Linked DNA regions of Diceros bicornis minor. The protein of the gene in region 3 interacts with the protein of the main gene of each other region in a pairwise test. Links are inferred from orthologs where the notes say so. Each region holds a gene or a part of one and is shown on either strand. Other genes may lie near its edges.

Region 1 (7,959 bases), on a different chromosome or scaffold from region 3:
GTTTCTTTACACTTTAATAATACTTTACCTATGTATTATTCAGATTATTAAAATGAAACATTAGGTTGTAATTTGAAGTTACCTGGTGTTAAGAAACACTAAAAGAAAGTTGGAAGACTAGTCTGTATTTGAAGGAGACTAAAGAGACGTGACAACTAAATGCAATGCCTGGTTCTTGATTGGATCACAGATCAAAGAAGGGAACACCTATACAGGATGTTACTAGGACAATTGGGGAGATTTGAAGCTGGATAATATATTAGATGCTATTGTATTAAGGTTTAATTTCTGAGCGTGTTAGTATTCCTGTGGTTATATAGCAGAATGCCCTAGATCTGGAAATAACATGCTGAGATATTAGGGATTTTAAATGATTTAGAAAACTGATATGTATACACATTTGCTTTATCTATTATGTACATAAACAGTTGATGAATATAGGTGAAGAGTATGTGGGTGTTCATTGTAATATTTTACTTTTTTTTAATCTTGAAAAAATTCAAAGTTAAAAATTGGAGGGAAGTTTGGGAAGCAGTTGAGAGGAGTTCATATGTCATTCACCAAATCTGCATCTCCAGAATGTTAGTAGAACATAGTGCTTTGGGGAGTGAGAGATGGCAGTTCATTCATTCATCGAGTGCTGAAGTGTTTCATGTTCATTGTCTCATTTAATCCTTAAAAAAACTTTATGATGTAGGAAACTGAGACACATGGGTTTAAAAACATTAATTAGTAGAGAAAGGGCCTTTATTTGAAGGCAGACATTCTGATTCCAGAGCTTAGACTCTTAATCATAAAACTAATGTGATGGTGGTTGCAGCCAAATTGTGTAGGACTCTGAATTCCACGCTTAAGAATTTAGACTTTATACTTTATTGTTTTACTATTCAGAGTGTAGTCCTAGGTGTTTAGGACATTACCTGGGAGCTTGTTAGGAATGCAGGAACTTGGGTTTGATCCAGGCTTACTGCATTTTCTTTAGTTTCCCTAGTCTGAGTAGGCATGGCATCTGAAAAGATTCCTTTATGACCAGTGTCATATAGTGTGTTGCCTATATTTTCGTCTATGAGTTTTATAGTTTCAGGTCTCACCTTCAGGTCTTTGATCAATTTTGAGTTAATTTTTGTGAATGGCGATAGCAGATGGTCCACTTTCATTCTTGTGCATGTGGCTGTTCACTTTTCCCAACACCATTTATTGAGGAGACTTTCCTTTCTCCATTGTATGTTCTTAGCTTCTTTGTCGAAAATTAGTTGTCCGTATATGTGTGGTTTTATTTCTGGGCTTTCATTTCTGTTCCATTGATCTGTGTGTCTGTTTTTGTACCAGTACCATGCTGTTTTGGTTACTATTTCTTTGTAGTATGTTTTGAAGTCAGAGATTGTGATCCCTCCAGTTTTGTTCTTTTTTCTTAGGATTGCTTTAGCTATTCGGGGTCTTTTGTTGCCCTATATGAATTTTAGTATTCATTTTTCTATTTCCCTTAAGAATGTCATTGGGATTCTGATTGGGATTGTATTGAATCTATAGATTGCTTTAGGTAATATAGACATTTTAACTATGTTTATTCTTCCAATCCATGTGCATGGGATGTCTTTCCATTTCTTTATGTCATCGTTGATTTCTTTCAATAATGTCTTGTAGTTTTCATTGTATAGGTCTTTCACCTCCTTGGTAAGATTTATTCCTAGATATTTTATTCTTTTTGATGCAATTGTAAATGGTATTATCTTTTTGAGCTCTCTTTCTGTTAGTTCGTTATTAGCATACAGAAATGCAACTGATTTTTGTAGATTGATTTTGTACCCTGCGACTTTGTTCTAGTTTTCGGTTATTTCTAATAGTTTTACAATGGATTCTTTAGGGTTTTCTATATATAAAATCATGTCGTCTGCAAATAGTGAGAGTTTCACTTCTTCGTTGCCTATTTGGATTCCTTTTATTCCTTTTTCTTGCCTAATTGCTCTGGCCAAAACCTCCAGTACTATGTTGAATAAGAGTGGTGACAGTAGGCACAGGCTTACTGCATTTTAACAAAATCCGTAGACGATTTGTTGCACATTCAAGTTTGATAACCACTCTCCATAGTACTGTTGTTTTCACATTTCTAGTAGTGTTGAGTTAAAATAATCTTGAGTGTTGTTGTTGGTCCCTAATCAACATTGACAGTATTATTGTTTCAGTTGAGGAAAAGTTTAGAATTCAACAATAATTTAATAAACTTTGGTAACCCATTCTTAAAGTAAGAGTAATTTGCAGTTGATGAAATAGTAAGTGTCTTTTCGGTACATGAGTATTGTCTGTTGAGGTGGAGATGTTATTAAAAATCAGTACTTGGTATAGTTCTACTAATCTGTTGTATGGTATAATTATTTTGAAATTGCTGTATTTAGAAGAGTATTTTGATAATACCTGGGAGAGAAATGCATTGTGTTGAGTGCTCTTTGGAAAATGAAGTTCAGAAGGTCTATATTAACTTTCTTACAGATATTGAAGCACAGATTCGAGAAATTCAAGGCAAGAAGGCAGCTCTTGATGAAGCTCAGGGAGTGGGCCTTGATTCTACAGGTTATTATGACCAGGAAATTTATGGTGGAAGTGACAGCAGATTTGCTGGATATGTGACATCAATTGCTGCAACTGAACTTGAAGATGTAAGTTACAAAGTATCCAAGAGTCAAGCGTTTTTTTTGATGGAGAGCAAGAAATATAAAGGAATTTTCTGTTTGAGTCATCTGGTTTAATCTGGGGAGACATTTTGGAGATTGGGAGATCTTTCTTTTGAAGGATAAAGCTGTTGAAGGTGTCCTTCCTCTCTAAAGTTCAGAAACTTGTGGAAGTGCTCAGTTCTGAATCTTTATGTTAAAGCTAGTTTATCTAGTAAAGCACCTGCAAATCATTAACTATTGTAAAGTAAATCCCTGTTGTCACCTACTGAGCTCTATCTAGAGTTGCCCATGTGAGAAGTGACTTCATTGTAAGTCATCTGTCCTTAGGACTTTTGATTTCTGACTTGTGCTTGATGCTGTTTTTTTTTTCCCCTTGGCATCTTGTGTGAATGGAATGTTTCTTGTTACCGACATGAATGGCTTTTTGTGCCTGTTTTAGTTACTCTGGAGGATGATCACCTCTCGTTTTGAAACACACCCCTCAAAGTGTTTTTTATGTGTTCCACATAGCTTATATTTTGTCAGACCATCCCAAACATACAAATTTGGTGAAATAGCTATCCATTTTTGTGTGGTTCAGTAACAAACATTTTATGTATATAGATTATCAAACATGTTATTTTTATGAAATTCAAGCCACATTTTATTTTATAGTTGGCATTTTTTTTTTTTAAAGCAAAATTAAGTCCCAAAGGTAGAATTTCTAGAAGCCAATCAGGCTTCTATTTGCATTATCATACCTTATTCGTATGAGACAGTGATGGCTATATGTTCCAGAAACTGAGGGGAAAATTATTTCGTTTTTAAATAAAATAAATGAGGTGTTAAGATCTTCTTGAGAGTTACCCACTGTTGAACTTCTTATAGTAGTAAAGTAACACTAACATTGTTGTGTTTGAACATACTACTAGGGAAACAAATATATTTAAAATTAATTATATTTTACTTGTTTCTGTGGTTAAATCATGTTAAAAAAACAAGGAAACTAGAGAGCTCTAAATAGTCTATTTGTAGTTTACAAATTTGGAAAACAAATTTCATCATGCCTTCTGTGAGAAAACAAAATGCTCAGATTTTTCTAGTCCATACCGACTTTAACTGACTTCCACAGAAAGCATGCCTTGTTTAATATTTTTAAAAGAGTGAAGAGAACTGAATTTCATTTCTTTAATAGCCTTTTGAGTTGAAAAGAAAACCAAAGTATTTATAAGTTTTAGGAAGAAGGGTTTAGACATCAATCACACTGTCAGTAAGTCTTTTGATTTCATGTTGAATCTTTATGTATTCTTTATCATTTTTAAGTTCTGACATTTTGTTTGTGGCTTTTGGGGGCATTTCATTGCAGGATGACGATGACTACTCTTCATCTACAAGTTTGCTTGGTCAGAAGAAGCCAGGGTATCATGCCCCTGTGGCATTGCTTAATGATATCCCACAGTCAACAGAACAGGTGACTCTTTTTTAAAAATTATTATTAAATTCAGAGTTTATTCAGCTAAAGAAAACAATGTCTCAATTCTCATGGAAGCTCACATATTTTAGGAATCAAGTTGTTAGAATGTTTTGATGAGAGTTAATTTGGGAGAATTAGAAATAATAGTTTATTTTATAAAGGTAATCATTTCATAAAGAAACTATGGAAATGTGGACATGTGTATTGTCTCATTTACGTATCCCTTATTTTCTCATATTAACGTTTATCCATAAAATGATACAGAATATTTTTTTTTTAGTAGGTAGGCATTTATTAAACATTTTTACGTGTTTTATAATGTTCTGATTTTTGTTTGTGGTACTCTGTTTGGTTATTTAGTAAAGTGGGTATTAAGTGAGATATAACTCTTTTCAGTATGATCCATTTGCCGAGCACCGACCTCCGAAGATTGCAGATCGTGAAGATGAATACAAAAAGCACAGGCGGACCATGATAATTTCCCCAGAGCGTCTTGATCCTTTTGCAGATGGTAATTCTTTCCCACTTTTCTATAAGTATTCGGAAATTTATTTGTATTAAGTTGTCTTTAGCCCTTTGATTTTTTTTGGCATGCCTATGAATTTGCTTTTCTTTTTTAAAATCCCCCTTATAGATTTGTATAGATTTGGTTGAAGTCACAGATGCCATATTCTTCCTCTTTATAATGCAAGTTTTCTTTCCAGGTAGAAGGACAAGAAAATAATGAGCCAATGCCATAGAAACGCAAAGGGTTAAAGGTTTTTCTTTTACTTTTGTTTTGGGTACGCTTTCTATACTTTGAACAAATGTGTTTTTCTGCTCAAAATACTTTCAAATTATTGAAAGTTTTCATTCCAAATCCTAGATTTTTAGGATTGTTACTTTTGAGAAACTGTTTCTCACATTAGAGCTCCATCCATGTTGCTCTAAATATAGTTTAGTAAACGCACCTACTTTGCTTTAAGCATAAAGTTAAAACAAAAATATGTGTACAAAGACTTTGATATTTTTAATAGTTGGAGTCTGTTTTGCTAATTTTAGGGGCATAGTGAGCCTGATGGAAGCTTTCCTCAGGTGAGTGAGTTTCAAAATCAAAATTAGGTGCCTGTTTCTTAAAATTAGATTCTGCTGCAGGTTTACAAATTAGACTTTCAGCCTGCATGAATTAGTAGGGATATTCTTTTTTTTACTTGCATAATTGTAATTGATTTAAACATGTATGTCAGAATTCACAGGCCCATACTAACTGTCCTTAATTTCTTTCCTACAGCAGTACTGCTATATGCCAGTCCTGTCTGCATTCTTAAGGGTGCAGTTCAACACATCCTCTCTAGATTATGGTGAAAAAGTATTCCAAAGGAAGTCTTATCAGAGCTAGTGTCAGAAAGAATGACACTATCAATTAGGCATGATCTTCAGCATAGGAAATGTCTTAGAATTTTATTATTTTTTCCTAAATTATGATGCTATACTACTTTGTATAGCTAATTATCACATTTCTAAAACTAGTGTGCCTCTGTGAATCTTGTTGTATACTGTTTGGGCTTCTTTAAGATATTTTGAAGTTTGAAAAACAAATACTGAAACTTTAACCAAGAGACTAACACATCTCTTTGTACACCACTTTTCTTCTGTGTGCATCATAATAACTGGTAGAGGTAATATATTTCAAGTAATATATTTCCAGTTGTAATTTATACTTTCTAAGAAAATAAAAATATGTTTCTGGGTCAACAAAACTCTAAAAGCATGAAGCCCTTTTTAGTAACATGACATCAGAATAAGATTATAGGTATATTTTTAAAAATCAGATTTTCTGAACTATAACTGTTTTAGAACATTATATGAGGAACTTATCTAGTCATAGTTATTTGTAGTCAGGATTTTAACAGCTTGCAACAGGTAATGTTTTGAATATAAATATCTTTCCAAAGTGTTACTAATGGTAAAGAGATAATTTTCTAGGCTTCTATTCTGCTGCTTGAAGTCAGAACTGCTGATGGAGACAAAGGCACGAAAGTGTACGTATTCCGGATTAGCAACCCAGGAACCCATCACTTCTGAAGACTCTAAACTGTGCTGTCATTTTGTTTTCATATGCATTAAAATATTTGTTTTAAACTGCTGTAGATATGTTTGTGTTCAAACAGGTTAAATTGATCAGCAAACTCAATAAAAAGTAAGATGTATAATTATTAAAGTTTTCCATCAAAAAATAAATTAAATGATTATGGAATAACATAATATTAGAGCAGGGCAGATAAATCAGTTGAACCTAATTATCTTTTATTTATTGTACTCTTGTCCTGTTGCTGTTCTTTTCTGCAGGAGGGAAGACCCCTGATCCTAAAATGAACGCTAGGACTTACATGGATGTAATGCGAGAACAGCATTTGACTAAAGAAGAGGTATGTTAACCTGCTTTTTATTTTAATGGTTGTGAAAGAAAGTGAAGAAAGTAGAGATTGAGTGACTTTTGTATTTTCTTTTTATTTGCTGTACAAGTAATATTTTAACAGCTTAATAAAAATTAAGTTGAGAAAGAACCTTACCCAAAATTCTGTCACCTCCCAAATTACACTTTTCATGTTTCTATATCCTTTTCTAGTCCCTGGTCCATTGGCTATATATCTATATACGTATGTATCTTATGGTGGATGTATCCGGGAAGGATTGATAGTGTGTGTCTGAAGCCAGTGTGTAAGGGAAAAGTGAAATAGTTAAATCATTCTTTGAAAAACCTCTAATTCTCTCATAAGATTCAGTTTGGATATGGGTGGAGAATTCCTGAAGAATTCCTGTTGGCCTACAGAGATTGCTCCATCTTGTTTTAATAGTTAGCCTCCAAACTTAATATGAATATATAATAGATTTGTTTGTTTTATGGATTAAGTGGGATAGTGGAACTCCATTTTAAAATCATGGGGTAAATTAAATATGCATTTGTTATGACTATGTTATTTGCATAGTTATAGTCACTTTTATCGCTTATATCTTGCTACATTGTCTTAATTGCTATTTATATGAGTTTTAAATAAAACTTTATTTTTGAATGGAATCATCTTTACCGTTGACTGAAGATTTTACTTCACTAACTGTATATAAAGTAGAGTGCTTTATGTTATAAATTCAGTACTTGCTCATCTGTTGTGCAGAAGGACATTGTATAAAACTGGCGATAGAGAGGGAAAATAAGGAAGGAGAATGAGTGAAGAATAAAATGACGTGAAATCATGAAATAGAAATGACTGTCCTAATGATATAAAAAGATAATTGAAAATGTTTTAAAGATATTCACTGCTTATTCAAATATTTTTCAGAGAGAAATTAGGCAACAGCTAGCAGAAAAAGCTAAAGCTGGGGAACTAAAAGTCGTCAATGGAGCAGCAGCGTCCCAGCCTCCCTCAAAACGAAAACGACGTTGGGATCAAACAGCTGATCAGACTCCTGGTGCCACTCCTAAAAAGCTATCAAGTTGGGATCAAGCAGAGGTAATTTCTTAATTTTTGTTACTACTATTTTTAATGTTTTTATCTCATGAAATGTATTCATCAGCTCTTGTTGGCATACAAGATAGCACAAACTGGGCAGCTTAAACAAACATTTATTTTCTCATGGTTCTGGAGGCTTGAAGTCCAAGATCAAGATGCCAGTTGGTGTCTGGTGAGAGCCCTCTTTCTGGCTTGCAGATGGTTGCCGCCTTGCTCTTTCCTCACATGGCCTTTTCTCTCTGCTTGCATGGAGAGAGCGAGCGAACTCTGGTGTCTCTTTTCTTATAAGGACACCAATCCTGTCAGATTAGGGCCCGAACCTTATGGCCTCACTTAACCTAATTAC
Region 2 (8,226 bases), on a different chromosome or scaffold from region 3:
CTTAACAGCTGGGCATGTTACACATGCTGCAGCCCCGGTTTCTCATCTGTAAGATGGTAATAACAACAGTGCCTACCTCACAGGGCTGTCACAAGGGATAAACACACATAAAACAGTCAACACAGTGACTGGCACAGTGTTCAAATGTCATCTGTCACTATTACTTAAGGCGCCCCATCTTAATGTTCTCCCTATCCCTTAGCGCTATCTGAAGCTGTCATCTTTACTTCTCATCCTTTTTGGGGTCCCCCCAGCCCCCCAGAACGTAAGCTTCATGAGGAGCTCTGTCTGCCTTGTTCAAAGCTCTGTCAGTCTCCTAGGAAAGGCATGCAAAAAGCCTGTGGAATATATGAATAAATATATCACATCAGGCATCCCTTTAAAATAATGTCTTGATTCAAAAAATTAAGTGAAAAATGACATTGCCTCAATCAAACAGTTATGTAATTGGGCTGGTCTCCCCTTACTAATTACCTTGCTGACCAACCAGGTCATTCAGTCCTTGGTTGGGGGGGTTTCCCTCCAATCTTATTACATAAATACAACAAACAATGGAAGAAACTGATAGATTAATCCGTGAGGCAAACGTTAATGTGGCTATATGCTAATTCTTTATAAACATACCACATACATGCAAACTGCGACACAACAAAAAAGGCTCTTGGCCATTAGGAAAGTCATACCTTGAAATATGAAACACACACTGACCTACTCAACTAAAACTGTTTTTCTACATGTATGCATATATATACATAATATACACACATATAGATTTTATATATATATGTGTATACACACACACATACACACAGCCATCCCCAAAACTGGGGACATGCTTTTTTCACCTCCTTTTTATGTTTCTGAACATAATGGGCTATGCGGAAATAAATGCTTTGAAATGAAAGTTGTGATTAAAACCCAATACTCCGGATCCTAAACATTACAGTTCTCCCCACTTATAGGCTAAACTTCTGTCATTCACCAAAGGAAATCCCAAATTTAAGGTTCTGATTGACTTGAGAGCTAGCACTAATTTTTTAAGGCATCTAAAACTACCAAATATCCATTCTGTTTTAACGTCTTAAGAATCCAATATCCAATTTTTACCCACCAGTTCCTCAAGTCCTTAATAAGTACTTTTCCCTCACTCTAATAGTTTCTTTCTTAAGAAAGGCATCATTATGTCGATATCCACGTTTTGTGAAATCCTAAAAATACTTTCAAGTTATATTCCGTTTTGAATGAACAAAAATCCTGTCATGCTATACCACCACGTTAGCAATGACTTAGGCAGTTTGCACAGATGCTACCAACGGGTATGAAATTCGCTAGGCAGAGATCAAGGCGAACAGGAAGGGAAAAAGCCTAGGAATGCTGCAGGGTAGTCCTCTAAAGGAAACAAGAAATGCTTCGGGATTTTATTTAAAGATGATCATGGACTATCATTCCCCAAAGTACCAAAAATACCTTGCCTGTATTTCTTGCTCAAAAGGAAAAGCGAAGCCACACATCTAGAAGGAGTAAAGATGTTGAACGCTGGCGGATTTTCTTAAATTAGGAATGAAAGAAGGAAAAGGAGAGAGGCCGCGGCGCTGCGGTCTCGGAGCAGTTCTCCAGGAAAGGCTTCTCGGGCGCCGGCCGCTCCCCCTCCGGTCCGCAGCCATGCTGGAGGTGGCTGGCGACTGGCACGTTTTAAATATCACCACCCCATCCATCAACTCCCCAGCACAATGCGGGCTGGGAAGCCGCGCGGGGCCGCCCGCGCACACGCCCACCGGCCCCACCAGCCCGCAACCCGGCGCGGCCGCCGCGCAGCCAAGTCACGCTCGGCCCGAGCAGAAAGTTTCGAATAAAAACCCGAGCGCCGACACGCACGGGTCTCGGAGCTGAACTCGCGCCAGGAACACGCCCGAGGCAAACCACTTGACAACCAGCTCGGGTTTTCGGCAGAAAGGCCGAGAGGCGGGGGCCGGGGAGGAAGAGGAGGCGACACACACACACACTCACACTCTCTTACGTACGCGGCTCCTCTTCCTCTGGGGCCCGCGCGCCCAGGTGGGAGCCACGCAGCAGCCTCGCGCCCGCACACGGCGCGCCGGGCGCCAGCGCCCCTCCTGGGAAGGTGCCGACCCCGGGCCGGCTCGGCGCGCCGGGGAGGGTGCGCACGCCCGGCGCCTCCCCGCCCGCCCGCCCGCCCTCGACGGCCGCAGCGGCGACTGGGGGCCGGGGGCCGGGGATGCTCGGCGGGCCGGCCGCGGGCTCGCGCGCCCCTCCCCCGCCCGCCGCCCGCGGGGCGCGCAGGAGGCGAGCGCCGGCGTCCCGGGGGACCGGCCCGCCTCCGGCCCTGGGAGCGGGGCAACTTTCCCCGGCGCGACCGCGGGCTGCGCCCGACCGGCGGGGCCGGGGGCCCGGGGGCGAGCGCAGCGTGGACTCACTTTTTCGGATGTTTCTCTCTTTTCGGCCTCCGCTTTCGGGCCTGAATGGCCAGCACTGGGGAAAGAGAAGACACACATTAACGGTCGGGCCGGCCGGCCGGCCCGCGGGGCCGCGTGGCGGGCAGGAGCGAACGCCGCGGGCCACTCACCTTTCCGGGAGCTCATCCCGACGCGGCGGAGGGCGGGCGGGGGGCTTCGCGGCGGCGGCGGCGGCGGCGGCGGCGACGCGGTGCCGAGCCGAGCCGGACTGCAGCCTCCACTCGCTCCGCCGGCCGGGAGGAGGCGGGAACCGCGCCTGCGCCGCCGCCGCCGCCGCTCCCGCGGGGGGCCCGGCAAGACCCGCCTCCGCCCGGCCCCGCCCCCGCCCCGCCCCCACCCGCCCGGTGAGCTTGGGACCCCAGCGCCGGGCCCCTCCCGTGTGTCCCGCACCCGCCCGCCGGGCCCACCTGTGCGAAGCGACCCCCCGCGACCACCGCCAGTCCCGTCCCCGACCTCCCCCTCCCCAGCCCGCGGCAGGCCTCCGCCTCCAGCGCCCCCGCGGCGGGCCCAGGCCTCCCGCCTCTCCCGGGCACCCGGCCCGCGCGACCCTCCCTCGCAGCCGCGGCCTCTCCCCTACGCACTCCGGCCAGTCGCGCCGCCCGTCTCTCCATGCGCCCTTCCTTGGCCCGCGCCTCCGCGGGTCTCACACCACCTCTCTTCGCGCGGCCTTTTCTCCCCCTTTGCTCCCCTACATCCTTGCATCCCCATGAGCGCCGCTCCTCCTCTCCGGCGGGTGTGGAAAGGGCACAGGACCAAGAACTGGGAAACCTGGGTCCTTTCACTAGCTATGTGACCTTGGAGAAGTCATCTTATCTCACACGTTTACCTACCCCGCAGGACTGCTTGAGTTTAATGAAGGAAAAGATGCAAATAGCGTGGAAAGAAGGATGAAGCTTTCGCACGTGAATTAAAGCCCAGTTCAATGAATACCACGTGTATAACAATTTAACACACCACCACAACCACCAAGTAGTTATTTTCTCCATCTTACAATGAAGAAACTGAGTCCTAGAGAGGTTAAGCAGTTTACCCAGCAATGACTGAAATCTAGGCCTAACTCAGTCCAAACTCTCCACGTATCATGCTTCCTAATTAAGATGTGAATCAACTTGATAGTGGGACAAAATGATAACTGCAGTGTTCCTTTGTTTATTTAAATACTGATAATATTTTTGAAAGATATTCATCCTGACCATTTACTCTCTCTTTGGCTATACAACTCTATTCTTAACTGATCAAAGTAGCTAGTCTTATTCTAAAGATGCTAAACCCAACAGAACAGAAGGCGCTGCTTGGAATTAAAGAGCTTTTTACTTTCTCAACTTTTTATTTTCAAAAACATCAAACCTACAGAAAAGCTATGAGAAAAACATAATGAACACCCATATTAACCCATATTCACCAGTTTTTAACATTTCGCTGCATTTGCTTTCCCTGTGTTGGGGGGGGAGAGTTGTTTTTGCTGAATCATGAGTTTTTTGCAGATAGTGTTACCCTTTACCCCTAAATATTTCAGTAAGTATCTCCTGAGACAAAGATAGTCTCCTACTTAATCAGATACTGTTATCATTCCAAGGAATTTTATTAATATAATACTATTATCTGTAACATACAGAGGTCATGTTCAAATTTTCAAAATATCCCTTTTAGCTGACTTTTTCTCCAACCCAAGATACAATCAAGGACCATGCATTGCATTTAGTTGTCACATCTTTTTAAGCTCCTTTCGTATAGAATAATGCCCGGTTTTGTTTTTTCTTATAACATTGACTTTTTTGAAGAATCCAGTTCTACTGTTTTGCAGAATGTTCCTCAGTTTGTATTCATCTGTTCCCCCTTAGATTGAAGTTACATAATTTTCTCAGGTACACTATCATAGATGATGTTGTGTTGGTCTTAGTAAATTGCATCAGGAGGGCTTTGATGTCTGTTTGTTCCATTATTGGTGATGTTGCATTTAATCATTTCTCCATGGTAAAAGTACCTTTTTTTCTTTGTATTTAAAAAGTAATCTGTGTAAAAAATGGGCAAAGGACATCAACTGATGAATGGATAAAGATGTGGTGTATATATACGATGGAATACTACTCAGCCATAAAAATGACACAATCATGGGGCCAGCCCAGTGGCATAGTGGTTAAGTTTGCACACTCCGCTTCGGCAACCTGGGGTTAGCAGGTTCAGATCCTGGGCACAGACTTATGCACCACTCATCAAGCCATGCTGTGGCAGCATCTCATATACGAAATAGAGGAAGATTGGCACAGATCTTAGCTCGGGGCTAATCTTCCTCAGCAAAAAGAGGAACATCAGCAACAGATGTTAGCTCAGGGCCGATCTTCCTCACCAAAAAAAAAAAAGACGCCATCATCACATTTGCAACAACATGGATGGACCTTGAGGGTATTATGTTAAGCAAAATAAGCCAGACGGAGAAAGACAAACACCACATGATTTCAGTCATATGTGGAAGATAAAGTAACACATGGACAAAGAAGGCAAATCAGTGCTTACCAGAGGGGAAGGGAGATGGGGGGTGGGTGAAAGGGGTAAAGGGGCGCATACGTATGGTGAAAGATAAAAATTAGAGTATTGGTAGTGAGCACAATGCAGTCTATACAGAAACTGATAAATGATAATGTACACTTGAAATTACACAATGTTATAAACCATTATGACCGCAATAAAATAATTAAAAAAAAAAAGTTTGTCATGTCTGTAGCTGTTACACTGTGAACAGCACAGAACCTCGAGGAACATTCTTCCAGTGTTGGAAAACTATCATCCAATTCAGCCAACAAGGTCACTCGATATCCTTGGCGGATGAGTTAAGATTCAACATGTGCTTCACTCTTGTCCTTTCATCTCACTCTTGAGTGTAAATGAAAACATCAACCAACATTTATGTCGGAACTATACTCAAGAGTCGGTGACATGAAGGACTTCTTGTGGAATCAGATAGTAATCAAGCATTTGTTCATGGTCTGATTTTCTCAAATCCTGGATGAATTGTAACCACAGGTTGGCTACAGATGTAACGGTTGGCAAAAATCAAAGAAAGCATTCTAGGGGGCTGGCCCAGTGGCATAGTGGTTATGTTCACTGCTCTCTGCTTTGTCGGCCGGGTTCACGGGTTCAGATCCTGGGCTTAGACCTACACCTCTCACCAAGCCATTGCTGTCGTGGCAATCCACATACAAAATAGAGAAAGATGGGCACAGGTGTTAGCTCAGGCCACTCTTCCTCAAGCAAAAAGAGGAAGGTTGGCAACAGGTGTTGCCTGTTAGCTCGGGGCCAATCTTCCTCGACAAAAGGAAAAAAAAACATTCTAGAGAACAATTGGTGCTGTAGAATTTACAATAAAAAGGATTGTATATTTTAGTATGATTTGTAAATTGTGTGCTATTTTACGGTTTTATACAGATAAAATGTATAATATACTTATGTACGTAAAAAAAAAAAAATGGGCAAAGGACTTGAATAGACATTTCTCCAAAGAAGAGAAACAAAGATGCTCATCATCACTGGAGAAATGCAAAGCAACATCACAATGAGATACCACTTCACACCTACTAGGATGACTACAATTTTTTTTAATGGAAACTAAGTGATGGCAAGGATGTAGAGACATTGGAATCCTCGTACATTGCTGGTGAGAATGTAAAAGGATGCAATCACTGTGGAAAACAGTTCCACAGTTCTGCAAAAAGCTAAATATAGGATTATTAGCAATTCTACTCTTAAGTATATATTCAGAAGAATTGAAAACAGGTACTCAAACAAATCCTTGTGTGCAACCGTTCATAGCAGCACTGATCACAGTAGCCAAAAGGTTAGAAACAACCCAAATATCCATCAACACATGAATGGATAAATTGTGGTATAGACATACAATGAAATATTTTTCAGCCATAAAAAGGACTAAAGAACTGATACATGCTACAACGTGGATGAACCTCAAAAACAGTCTGCCGAGTGAAAGAAGCTAGACACAAAAGGTCATATATTGTACCACTCCATTTACATGAAACATCAGGAACAAGCAAATCTGCAGAAAGCAGATTGGTGGTAGCCAGTGGCTTGGGGGAGGGGAAACGCGGAGCAACTGCATCATGGGTCCGGGGTTTTATTTTGTACTGAGAAAATGTTTTGGAGCTAGATAGAGGTGGTGGTGGCACAACATTGTAAATGTAGTAAATGCCACTGAATTGTTCATTCTAAAATGATTAACTTTATGTTATGTGAATTTCACCATGATTTTGTTTTATGGTTCTGTGGGGTAATATTTTGAGACCATGTGAGTATCCTTCCCCAAGAATCTTCACTCTATGGGTTAGCACCCATTGATGATGCTTGCCTGAATCAATTGTTACTATAGTGGTTGTAGAATAATAATATTATAATCCTAACATTCCATCTGTTCCATCTATGTTAATTAGGTGACATTCTTATGTAAAGAAGAGCTTTCATTTCTCCTGCCACCCCTTTGTTCTCTGTTTGTTTTTGGCTTGTTTTTTGTTTTTATTTTTGGTTTCAATATTGACAGTAATTACTGTCACTTTGATTTTTGATTCTTGAATTGCCCCATACTTGACCAGGGAAGACACTTTCAACTTTTAGTGTCCTTCGGACACATCCCAATCAGTTTTTGAGCACCTCTTCACTTTCTGGCACAAGATGTTCCAGGAAACTTTGTGCTTTCCCTAACTGGGTCTCAGAACCAGCCATTTTGCTGGTCTTGACTCCTTCTAGAAGGTGATTAAAAGCTTTGAAGCCAAAGAAATCCGATTTTAAAACCAGTTTCTTTTATTATTTTTAATAGCTTTACTGAGATATAATTCACATACCATACAATCAACACATTTAAAGTACAAAAGGCAATGTTTTTTAGGATTGTTGTGCAACCACCACAACAATCTAATTTTAAAACATTTTGTCACCCATAAAAGAACCTCCATAACCATTAGCAGTCACTCCCCATTTCCCCCAACCTCCCCTTGCTCAAGGCCTAGGCAACCACTAATCTCCTGTCTCTATAGCCCTGCCTATTCTGGACAGATCATATAAATGCAATCATATACTATGTGGCCTTTTGTGACTGGCTTCTTTCACTTAGCTTAATGTTGAAACCCATTTCTGCCTCTTAATTTCTGCATAACCTTGGGCAAGTTACTTAATTACAACATCTGGGAAACGGTAATAATATTAATACCAATCCTGCTAGATCAATGTGATAATCAAATAAGGAAAGTAAATATTCAATAAATGGTAATTACCATTAACATTAGTTGGGAAATCACACCCCATCTCTTTGCGTCCATTTGTTCAACAAATATTTCTCAAACACCTGCTATGCAGCTGGCATTATTCAAGGTATTGAGTCTACAGCAGTGAACAAAGCACACAAGACTCTCCCTGCCCTCGTGGGACATTCTACTGCCAGAAGACAGAAAATAAACAAAGTAAATATGTGAAATATATATTATATTTACTGGATGGCAATAGTGTCTATGACAAGAAGAATCAAAACAAAACAGCAACCTGTTGGGAACGTGTTTAGAAAAGGCCTCACTGAAAAGGGAACACTTAGTTAAAGACCTCAAGGTGATCTTACCAGTCTTTTTACTTCTATAAACCAGGAGAGAACTATATTTGCTACCTAGAATATTTGTGAATTGCTTTGAATTTATTAAATTAAAATATACCAACTTAATTATCAATAAACAAATTTACACATACTATATTAGATGCT
Region 3 (7,957 bases):
CAAATGCTGGTGAGGATGAAGAGAAAGTGGATCATTCGAACATTCTAAGTGGGAATGTAAAATGGTACAGCCACTGTTATAGACTGAAATTGTGTCCCCCCAAAATTCATATGTTGACGTCCCAACCCCCACACCTCAGAATATAACCATTTTTTTGGAGATAAGATCTTTAAAGGATTAAGTTAAAATGAAAGTGAGGTCCTAATCCAATACGACTGGTGTCCTTATGAGAAAAGGAAGAGACACCAGGGATATTAGCACACAGGGGAAACACCATGGGGGGGCACAGCCGAGAAGGTAGCCATTTGCAAGCCAAGGAGAAAGGCCTCAGAAGAAACCAAATCTGCTGACACCTTGATCTTCGACTTCAAGTCTCCAGAACTGTGAGAGAATAAGTTTCTGTTGTTTAAGCCTTCCGATCTGTGGTATTTTGTTATGGGAGCCCTAGCAAACTAACACAGACACTCTGGAAAACAATTTGGCAAGTTCTTAAAAAAAATTAAACATGCAACTACCATATGATCCAGCAACTGCACTCCTAGGCATTTATCCCAGAGAAATGAAAACTTAAGTTCACACAAAAACCTGCACACCAATGTTTATACAGCAGCCATATGTGTAATAGCCAAAAACTAGAAACAACCAAGGTGTTCTTTAATGGGCAAATGGTTAAATCCATACCATTGAATACCACTCAGCAATAAAAAAGAATGAACTACTGATAGATGCAACAGCCTGAACAAATCTCCAAAGAATTTTACTGAGTAAAAAAAGCCAGTCCCTAAAGATTACATACTGTATGATTCCATTTATATAACATTCTTGAGCAACAGAATTATGGAAATGGAGAAGAGATAAAAAGGTGCCAGGAGTTGAGGGGTATGGGTGGGAGGGAAGAGGGTATGACTACAAAGGACAACATGAGAGATGCTTGTGGTGATGGAAATGTTCTGTACCTCGACTGTATTGATGTCAATACTCTGGTGCGATATTGTACTATAATTCTGTAAGACGTTACCTTTGGGAGAAACAGGATGAAGAGTATACCTCTGTATTATTTCTCACAACTGCTTGTGAATCAACAACTATCTCAAAATAAAAAGTTCAGTTTAAAAAAGCAAGCAGAAAAAAAAACCAAAAACAAAACCAGTTTTTAGCAAAGCCCACGGCAGGTACAGGTGAACACATACACAACACTCTCCAGCTAGGATGGGAAGAGGCTCTAGATTTGCACCTAGTGTCAAAACATTTCAATCCACTTACCTGCTTCACTTTGACTGTTGAGTGGTGAGGACTTCGGCTTCTCTTACTCCTAGGAGACTTGCTTCTTCTCCCTGAGGACTTGTTTTTCTTTTTGGCTGGGGACCTTTTCAGAGCATGGGACACACAGGATTTTATCTCGATTTCCCTTCCTCCACACAAATTAGCTGCAACTATCAGGCTCACCTACTAACACAAACACATTTGTGAAGGTCTCTGCCGATCACACAAAGGAGCCAGGAGCTTCTGTTTCCTAGTCCTAACGTCTCCCTTGAGTCCTGGACCCACATATGTAACTGCCTACTGAATATTCTCACTTACATAACATAACTCTTGATTCCCAACCCCTCAAAAACCTTTCCTTGGAGCAGGCCCGTGGCCTAGTGGTTAAGTTCGGCGTACTCCGCTTCAGTGGCCCACGTTTGGTTCCTGGGCACGGACCTACACCACTAGTCATCGGCCATGGTGTGGTGGCGTCCCACATACAAAACAGAGGAAGACTGGCACAGATGTTAGCTCAGGGCAAATCTTCCTCAGCAAAAAAAAAAAAAAAAAAAAAAAAAAAAATTTCCTCTCTGTCTTTCCTCTCTGCCATCTCTGTAACTGGCACCACCATCCACCCTCTTCCTCAAGCCAAAAACCTAGAAGTCACCCTTGATTTTCTTTTTCCTCACCACCAACAGCCACTCCCTACTCTTCCCCCACAATCACATTCAACCCATCAGCTCCGGCTCCATCTCCTCCCTCTCCCACCTCATTCCTACCACTCTTCTTGATCACTACACTGGGGTTTGCTGTTTTTTTTTCCCCCCTATTTCTAGAACAATTACAATTCATCCTACTTCAGGTTCTTTGCACATGTTGTTTCCTCTGCCTACATCTTTACATGGCTGGATTATTATCATTCAGGTCTCAGCTCAAATGGCACCTATTCGGAGGGGCCTTCTCCCACTTCCCTCCAATCTCTCACTATCACATGACTGTTTTAACCTATCCCTAACACGTGTCATTAACTGAAACTATTTTATTTGCTTGTTATTTTGTCTCAGGGCTAGAGCACATCAAATTTCGCGAGGGTAAAGGCCACCTACCTTGTTCACCCTTACAGCCCCAGTCTTGAGCACATAACAGGTACTCGGTAAAACTATGTTGAATGAATGAATAAATGAGCCAATCCAGTAGAAAACAATTTTCTTTTTCCAGAATTTCTATCAGGGAGATCGCCTAGGCCCTCGATGTGTAAACCTTTCCGGGCAGATGACTGAAAAGACAACGCCCGCACTCCATTTGCAGTCACATGGGGAAAATCTTTCATTTCAACTTAAATGGTCAGTCCTACCTGCTGGGCCATACTCCGCGAAATGCTGCGCACTCAGAGATGAAGGGGCGGACCCTGCTCGTTAGATTAGCCGCTTAACGCCCAGCTATAACGCAAGTGACAGGTACCGGAGTAAACATTTAACCCAAGCACTAGCGGGTCACTTCCACCGCCTTAGGATGAAGTCCAAGCTGCTGCCCTCGCTTCAAGGTGTGCTTCTGACGCTAGCCCTGTCCTCCCTTCTCAGAGCCCGACGTAAGGTCCACCCCGGGCTGCTTCCCACTTACCGGCTACCTCCTCGGGCTCGGTTCCCGCGGTGACCCGGGCGGCCTGGCTCGCCGGCCGGCGGGGACGGGCTCCCGCCGGCGGAGTCCGGACGGCGGTGGGCGGGGGGCGCTGCTTCCGGGCTGAGTCGCTCTTGCTTCACCACCACGGCCGCCGCCGCCGCCACCATGTCCCCGTCCCGGTGCCGTCGCCGGCTCCCCCGCTCCCGCTCGCTCTTCACCTCCTTCATGCTGAGAGACCCGCTGAGCGAAGCGAAAATACGTCCGTTGTGCTCCTCTCGCTGAAGGAAATGACGGGCTTTACACCCCCCCCCGCACTTCCGCTTCCGGGGTGCGCGCTCTCCCAGAAACCCTCGCGGCGGAGGGGCTAGACACGTGACCACGACTCCGTAGTCGGCGGGGCCGTAGGGACCCGGTTCAGGTGGCGGGAGTTTTGAGTTTCAAAAGCAAACTTCTGCGAAAAAGCTACTCTCAAGGCTGTTTGTTGTCGCGTTATTAGTAATTACTAAACACGGAGACAACCGAAATGCCCAGCGGTGGGAAATTGTTTAGCCGATTGATGGATGTATGTCGCCATTCGCAGTGCTATTTACAAACTGTATGACAAATGGAAAAAACCCTGGTTTGTTAAACGAAAGAAGCAGGATACAAAATTGTGGCTATGTTTACGTTTGAAAAGAGAAAGAAAGGAGAAGAGAAGGAAATGCAATCATAGGTGATAGCCTGTGGGCAAATCATTAGTATTTCCCCTCTATTCTTGAACTTTCTTTTATGTTGTCATTTCTCCATTTAATTAAAAAATACTTTTTATTTTATTTATTTATTTTTTGGTGTGAGAAAGATTTGCTCTGAGCTAACATCTGTGCCAATCTTCCTCTATTTTGTATGTGGGGCACTGCCACAACATGGCTAAGGAGTGGTGTAGGTCGTGCTGCGGGTTCCGGGCTCTGGGATCCGAGCCACTGAAGTGCAGCCCGCCAGCCAAGGGGCCGGCCCCCACAAATACTTTTTAAAACCGGGGAACTCCAGAGGCCCTCCTCTGGGAATCTTTCTCAATCCTTCACTGAGGAGTCAGATGACTCCCATTTTGCAGGTGACAAAATCGGGGGTCAGCGAAGGTGATCTGCCACCTTATTCGAATTGTGAGCTAGACGCAGCGCAGGGACTCGAATCCGTTTTCTCTGCTTCCAAGAGTACCGATGCGACCCGGCGAGCAGGAGGCCTGACAAGCGAAGCACGGGAAAAGCTGGGCAGAAACTCCCGCGCCGCTGGCCCCGCCCCACCCCGAAGCCCCGCCCAGGCCATGAGGCTAGGAGAGGTTTCCATGGTGATGGCAAACAGGGCCATGATTCGAGGGGCCGCCGCTGGGCTACTACCTTCGCCGCCGCCATGATTCCCCCCGCGGACTCTCTGCTCAAGTATGACACCCCGGTGTTGGTGAGCCGGAACACGGAGAAACGGAGTCCCAAAGTAAGGACGGGTCTCAGGGGGCGGAGGAGCCCGAAGCTCCAATGAGAAGAGAGACCCCGCGTTGAGGATAGGGAGTCCCGAGGGACAGAGGCTGGGAGTAAAGGGACTTGGAACGGGGGAAGGAGTGTGGGAGAGCGTTACAAGAAGGCCAGATGTTGGGTAACCCCAGAGGGCAGATTTAGAATGGGGAAGGAAGTCACAGGGAGATGAATGGGGCTTACTCTTTTTCATGGTAGCTGGGTCCAAAATAGATCTGGTAGTGATTTCACACCCATCACTAGAGGTGTGAAAGCAGAGGCTTGAGCACCCGTGCCAGAAACATCACTTCAAGGAGATACAAGCATTGGGTTGGGGTAGGACCAGAGGCTATGGCCCCCTTCAGCTCTGAGATGTAACTTCTGCTGAGAAGACAGGTGGGGAAAGTGAGCTGGGAATAGGGGACGATGTGCAGGAGACCTGGAGCAATCCAGAAGGCCAGGATGTGTGGAGCTGAGTGTCTGTCACCTCCTGCCCTAACTTGTCCCTTCTTCTCAGGCTCGGCCACTGAAAGTCAGCCCCCAGCAGCCTGGACCCTCAGGTCCAGTCCCGCAGCCACCAAAAACCAAGGTCCCCTCAACTTCCTGTGTCCCAGATCCTACAAAGCAGGCTGAAGAAATCTTGAATGCCATCCTGCCCCCAAGGTAAAAAAGTAGGAGCAGTGTCTGGGAGAAGGCCCAGGCTTTTGCATCCTAGAACTTGGGAATGTGGGAGGAGGCAGTCTGTCTCTGTTCCTGGCTGGGATTTCCTCCCAGCATCCCAGAGCTCCTAGAGCTTGCAGATGGCTGGATGCTGAGAGGGTGGGAGGAGACCTCTTCTCTATCCATCCTCATCTCCTGAGGGCTCGCGCCCAGGCTCATGGCTTTAGATCCCATCTATACGCTGATGGCTCCCAAATGTGCATTTCCAGCTCTGTCCTATCCCCTAAACTCCAGCCCCATATGTTCTACTGCTTCCTCATTATCTTCATGAGGATGTCTAATAGATATCTCAACTCAGCATGTCCACACTAAATCACAATTTCTTCCTCCTCCAACCTGCTCGTCCCCAGGCTTCTCCTTTCTACTAGGCGCTCAGGCCACCTTCCATTCCTTTTGGTCCCTCATGTCACATGTCCTATCCTTCATCAAATTCTTTTGGCTCCACCTTAAAATTATATTCCAAATCCAGCCACTTTTCACCACCTCTGCTTCCACCATCTTGTTCCTGTCACTATTTGTCACCTGCAGTACTGCAATGGCCTCCTATCTGAAAACCCTGCTTCTACTCTTTGCCCCTGTAATTTAATCTGCACACTGCCCTGAAATCATAAGTCAGATCATGCCAGTCTTCTGCTAGAAACTCTTTAATGGCTTCCCATTTCGCTCAGGCTAAAATCCAAAGTCCTTACAGTGGCCTGGAAGAGCTGGCGTGATCTGGCTCCTGATAGACCCAGGATCTTATCTCCTGGTATTCTCCTCCTTGTTCACTGTGCTAATGCCGCAGAGGCCTCTGCTTGCTGTTTCTGAAACACTTCCATCGCTCTTCCACCGCAGGACCTTGGCACTTGCTGTTCTCACTGCCAATGACACTCTTCCTCTGATATCTGCCTGGTTCTCTTCTTCACTCAGGTCTTGCTCAAATGTCGTTTCCTTAAGGAGGCCTTCCTTGAGCATCCTTGTAAAAGAGCGCCTTCTTTCTTCACCATCCCCTTACCTGGCTTCTCTCTTCTACAGCCACATTTATCACTATGTGGCATGCCTTTTTGACTATTTTTATGTAATAAGTTGATAGCACAGTTTTTAAGGCTATGATGGAAAGGAGAAACAGTAAAAGAGAGACTGCGATTTCCTCCGAGAAGGGGGTCAAAGAGGGGAGTGGGTGATTTTTCAATTGACGCCCTCCTACCAATGCCTGGAAATTCTCTCCCCCATGGCGGTTCTATCCTCAGGCTCCTTCCTTGTAATTCTGGAACCTGGCCATGCCTCTGATACAAGGTTCATCGTGGGGAGGCCCACATAGGCACACACCTTCAAGAACCTCCCCTCTCCCCAGTACACACATTTGCCTCTTTCTGGCTGGCACAAGATTTGTGGTGCCCTGTGTCTCCCACCCGACAAGTCAGTGGAGAATTCCCACTGGGCCTTCTGTTGAGATCAACAACGACCATAAGTCTGTCCTCAACATGTAAAGAGGGTAAGATTTGGAACGTGGGTGATGATTTCATGGAGGGCTGTGGGAGAGTGGAGATGGCCCAGCTCCAAGGTAGAGGCTTTGTGGAGGCAGCATAGTGAGGGTGGCCTTGAAACCACACACTCCCCAAGGAAGAGAGAAGGATGGAAGATTCTGGTGGGTCGAGGACAGAGCTGTCCCTCACACCTCTCAGGCAGAGAGCTCAAAGGGCCTTCTCTGCTCATGTCTCGAGGACCCTCTCTGGTCAATGGGTTTTGCTCAGGCTGGCTGTGTCTGTGCCGCAGGGAGTGGGTAGAAGACACGCAGCTATGGATCCAGCAGGTGTCCAGCACCCCCAGCACCAGGATGGATGTGGTGCACCTGCAGGAACAGCTGGACCTGAAGCTGCAGCAGCGGCAGGCCAGGGAGACCGGCATCTGCCCTGTCCGCCGGGAGCTCTACTTGCAGTGTTTCGGTGAGTGGCTGGGGGCGGGGTACGGGACACCTGCCTCCTTCCCTTCCTCTTCAGCACAGACCCAAGCCCTGAGTATCCCCGAGCTACAGCCTATCCCATCCTGGAATCATCTGGTCCCTCCCACCCAGGGACCGCTACATGCGCCCCCTCCCCGTCCAGCCCCACCTCTCCTACCTGTCCCCCACCTACCAGTCCCCCACTTGACAACCTGGTTCTTCATCCCGCAGCAGTTGTTTGGAGTAAGATGAGAACTTCCATTTTAAATCTTCGTTTTTTTCCAAGACTTCTATAATAAGCATGTGTTAATTTTTTGATTAGAAAAATTAATGTTCTATACTTATATCCATCTATCAACATTTGGCCCTTGGTCCAGAAAAATATTTCAGGGTAATGTGTTGTTAACCGACGGATACAAAGGATTTAAGATTTCCCTCCACAAGTGCTGGTGTCGAATGTCTCTGTCCCTCGCCCACTTTCACCGGCCGGTGTGGACTCTGACATGCAAACCACCTCCAAACCCTGAGGCAGCTGCAGAGTCTAGCAGCTCCCTTTAGTCGGCGTATGATTATGGTTGGCCCTCCAGGTCAGCCTTGATGGAGGAGACGGGTGGGCGAGCTCTAGACCCCGCTGTTGCCAGCCCCAACCCAGTCCAGCCAAGGGGATTTCCCAGCCACTTTAAAACAGCCACCATCTTCAAATTGAAAAAGGCAGCTTTCTTTGAATAGTACCCAGTTTCTGGCTGAGGATGGAAGAGAGGGGCCCCATGGCTGCAAACAAACCTAGGGCTCCTGTCTCCCTCTGCCCTGGCCACAAGGGGCTTGTTGACTGCCTGTGCTCCCAAGAGCCAAGTTCAGAGTGGTGGCTGCATGGCAGGGCTCCTGGGGCCACTCAAGGCCACTCCCTGAGGCCTGACTCCAAGTGAGGAGGACACACCCTAGAGCCCTTCCCAGTGGGAAGTGTGGT

What was found. The genes of interacting proteins can lie anywhere in the genome.
Region 1: the proteins of SNIP1 (region 3) and SF3B1 interact in a two-hybrid assay, tested with the Homo sapiens proteins (2 studies listed by BioGRID and IntAct). The link is inferred for Diceros bicornis minor from reciprocal best matches to the Homo sapiens genes SNIP1 and SF3B1.
Region 2: the proteins of SNIP1 (region 3) and SRPK2 interact in binary tests that used the Homo sapiens proteins (3 or more experiments, as listed by UniProt). The link is inferred for Diceros bicornis minor from reciprocal best matches to the Homo sapiens genes SNIP1 and SRPK2.

What each region holds. Positions count from the first base shown.
Region 1 is NC_080749.1:75,268,666-75,276,624, reverse strand, and holds the start of SF3B1 (splicing factor 3B subunit 1), read left to right. Parts: upstream 1-4,859; 5' UTR 4,860-6,143; intron 6,144-6,450; coding exon of another isoform or gene 6,451-6,473; coding exon 6,474-6,530; intron 6,531-7,442; coding exon 7,443-7,613; intron 7,614-7,959. UniProt on the Homo sapiens protein: Component of the 17S U2 SnRNP complex of the spliceosome, a large ribonucleoprotein complex that removes introns from transcribed pre-mRNAs.
Region 2 is NC_080742.1:12,839,138-12,847,363, reverse strand, and holds the start of SRPK2 (SRSF protein kinase 2), read right to left. Parts: upstream 3,086-8,226; coding exon 3,056-3,085; intron 2,648-3,055; exon of another isoform or gene 2,601-2,647; coding exon of another isoform or gene 2,585-2,600; intron 2,491-2,584; coding exon 2,436-2,490; intron 1-2,435. UniProt on the Homo sapiens protein: Serine/arginine-rich protein-specific kinase which specifically phosphorylates its substrates at serine residues located in regions rich in arginine/serine dipeptides, known as RS domains and is involved in the phosphorylation of SR splicing factors and the regulation of splicing.
Region 3 is NC_080752.1:51,594,178-51,602,134, forward strand, and holds the start of SNIP1 (smad nuclear-interacting protein 1), read right to left. Parts: upstream 3,144-7,957; 5' UTR 3,093-3,143; coding exon 2,866-3,092; intron 1,367-2,865; coding exon 1,264-1,366; intron 1-1,263. Other genes in the region: DNALI1 (axonemal dynein light intermediate polypeptide 1), read left to right, coding at 4,252-4,332, 4,867-5,012, 6,825-6,994. UniProt on the Homo sapiens protein: Required for pre-mRNA splicing as component of the spliceosome. As a component of the minor spliceosome, involved in the splicing of U12-type introns in pre-mRNAs. Down-regulates NF-kappa-B signaling by competing with RELA for CREBBP/EP300 binding.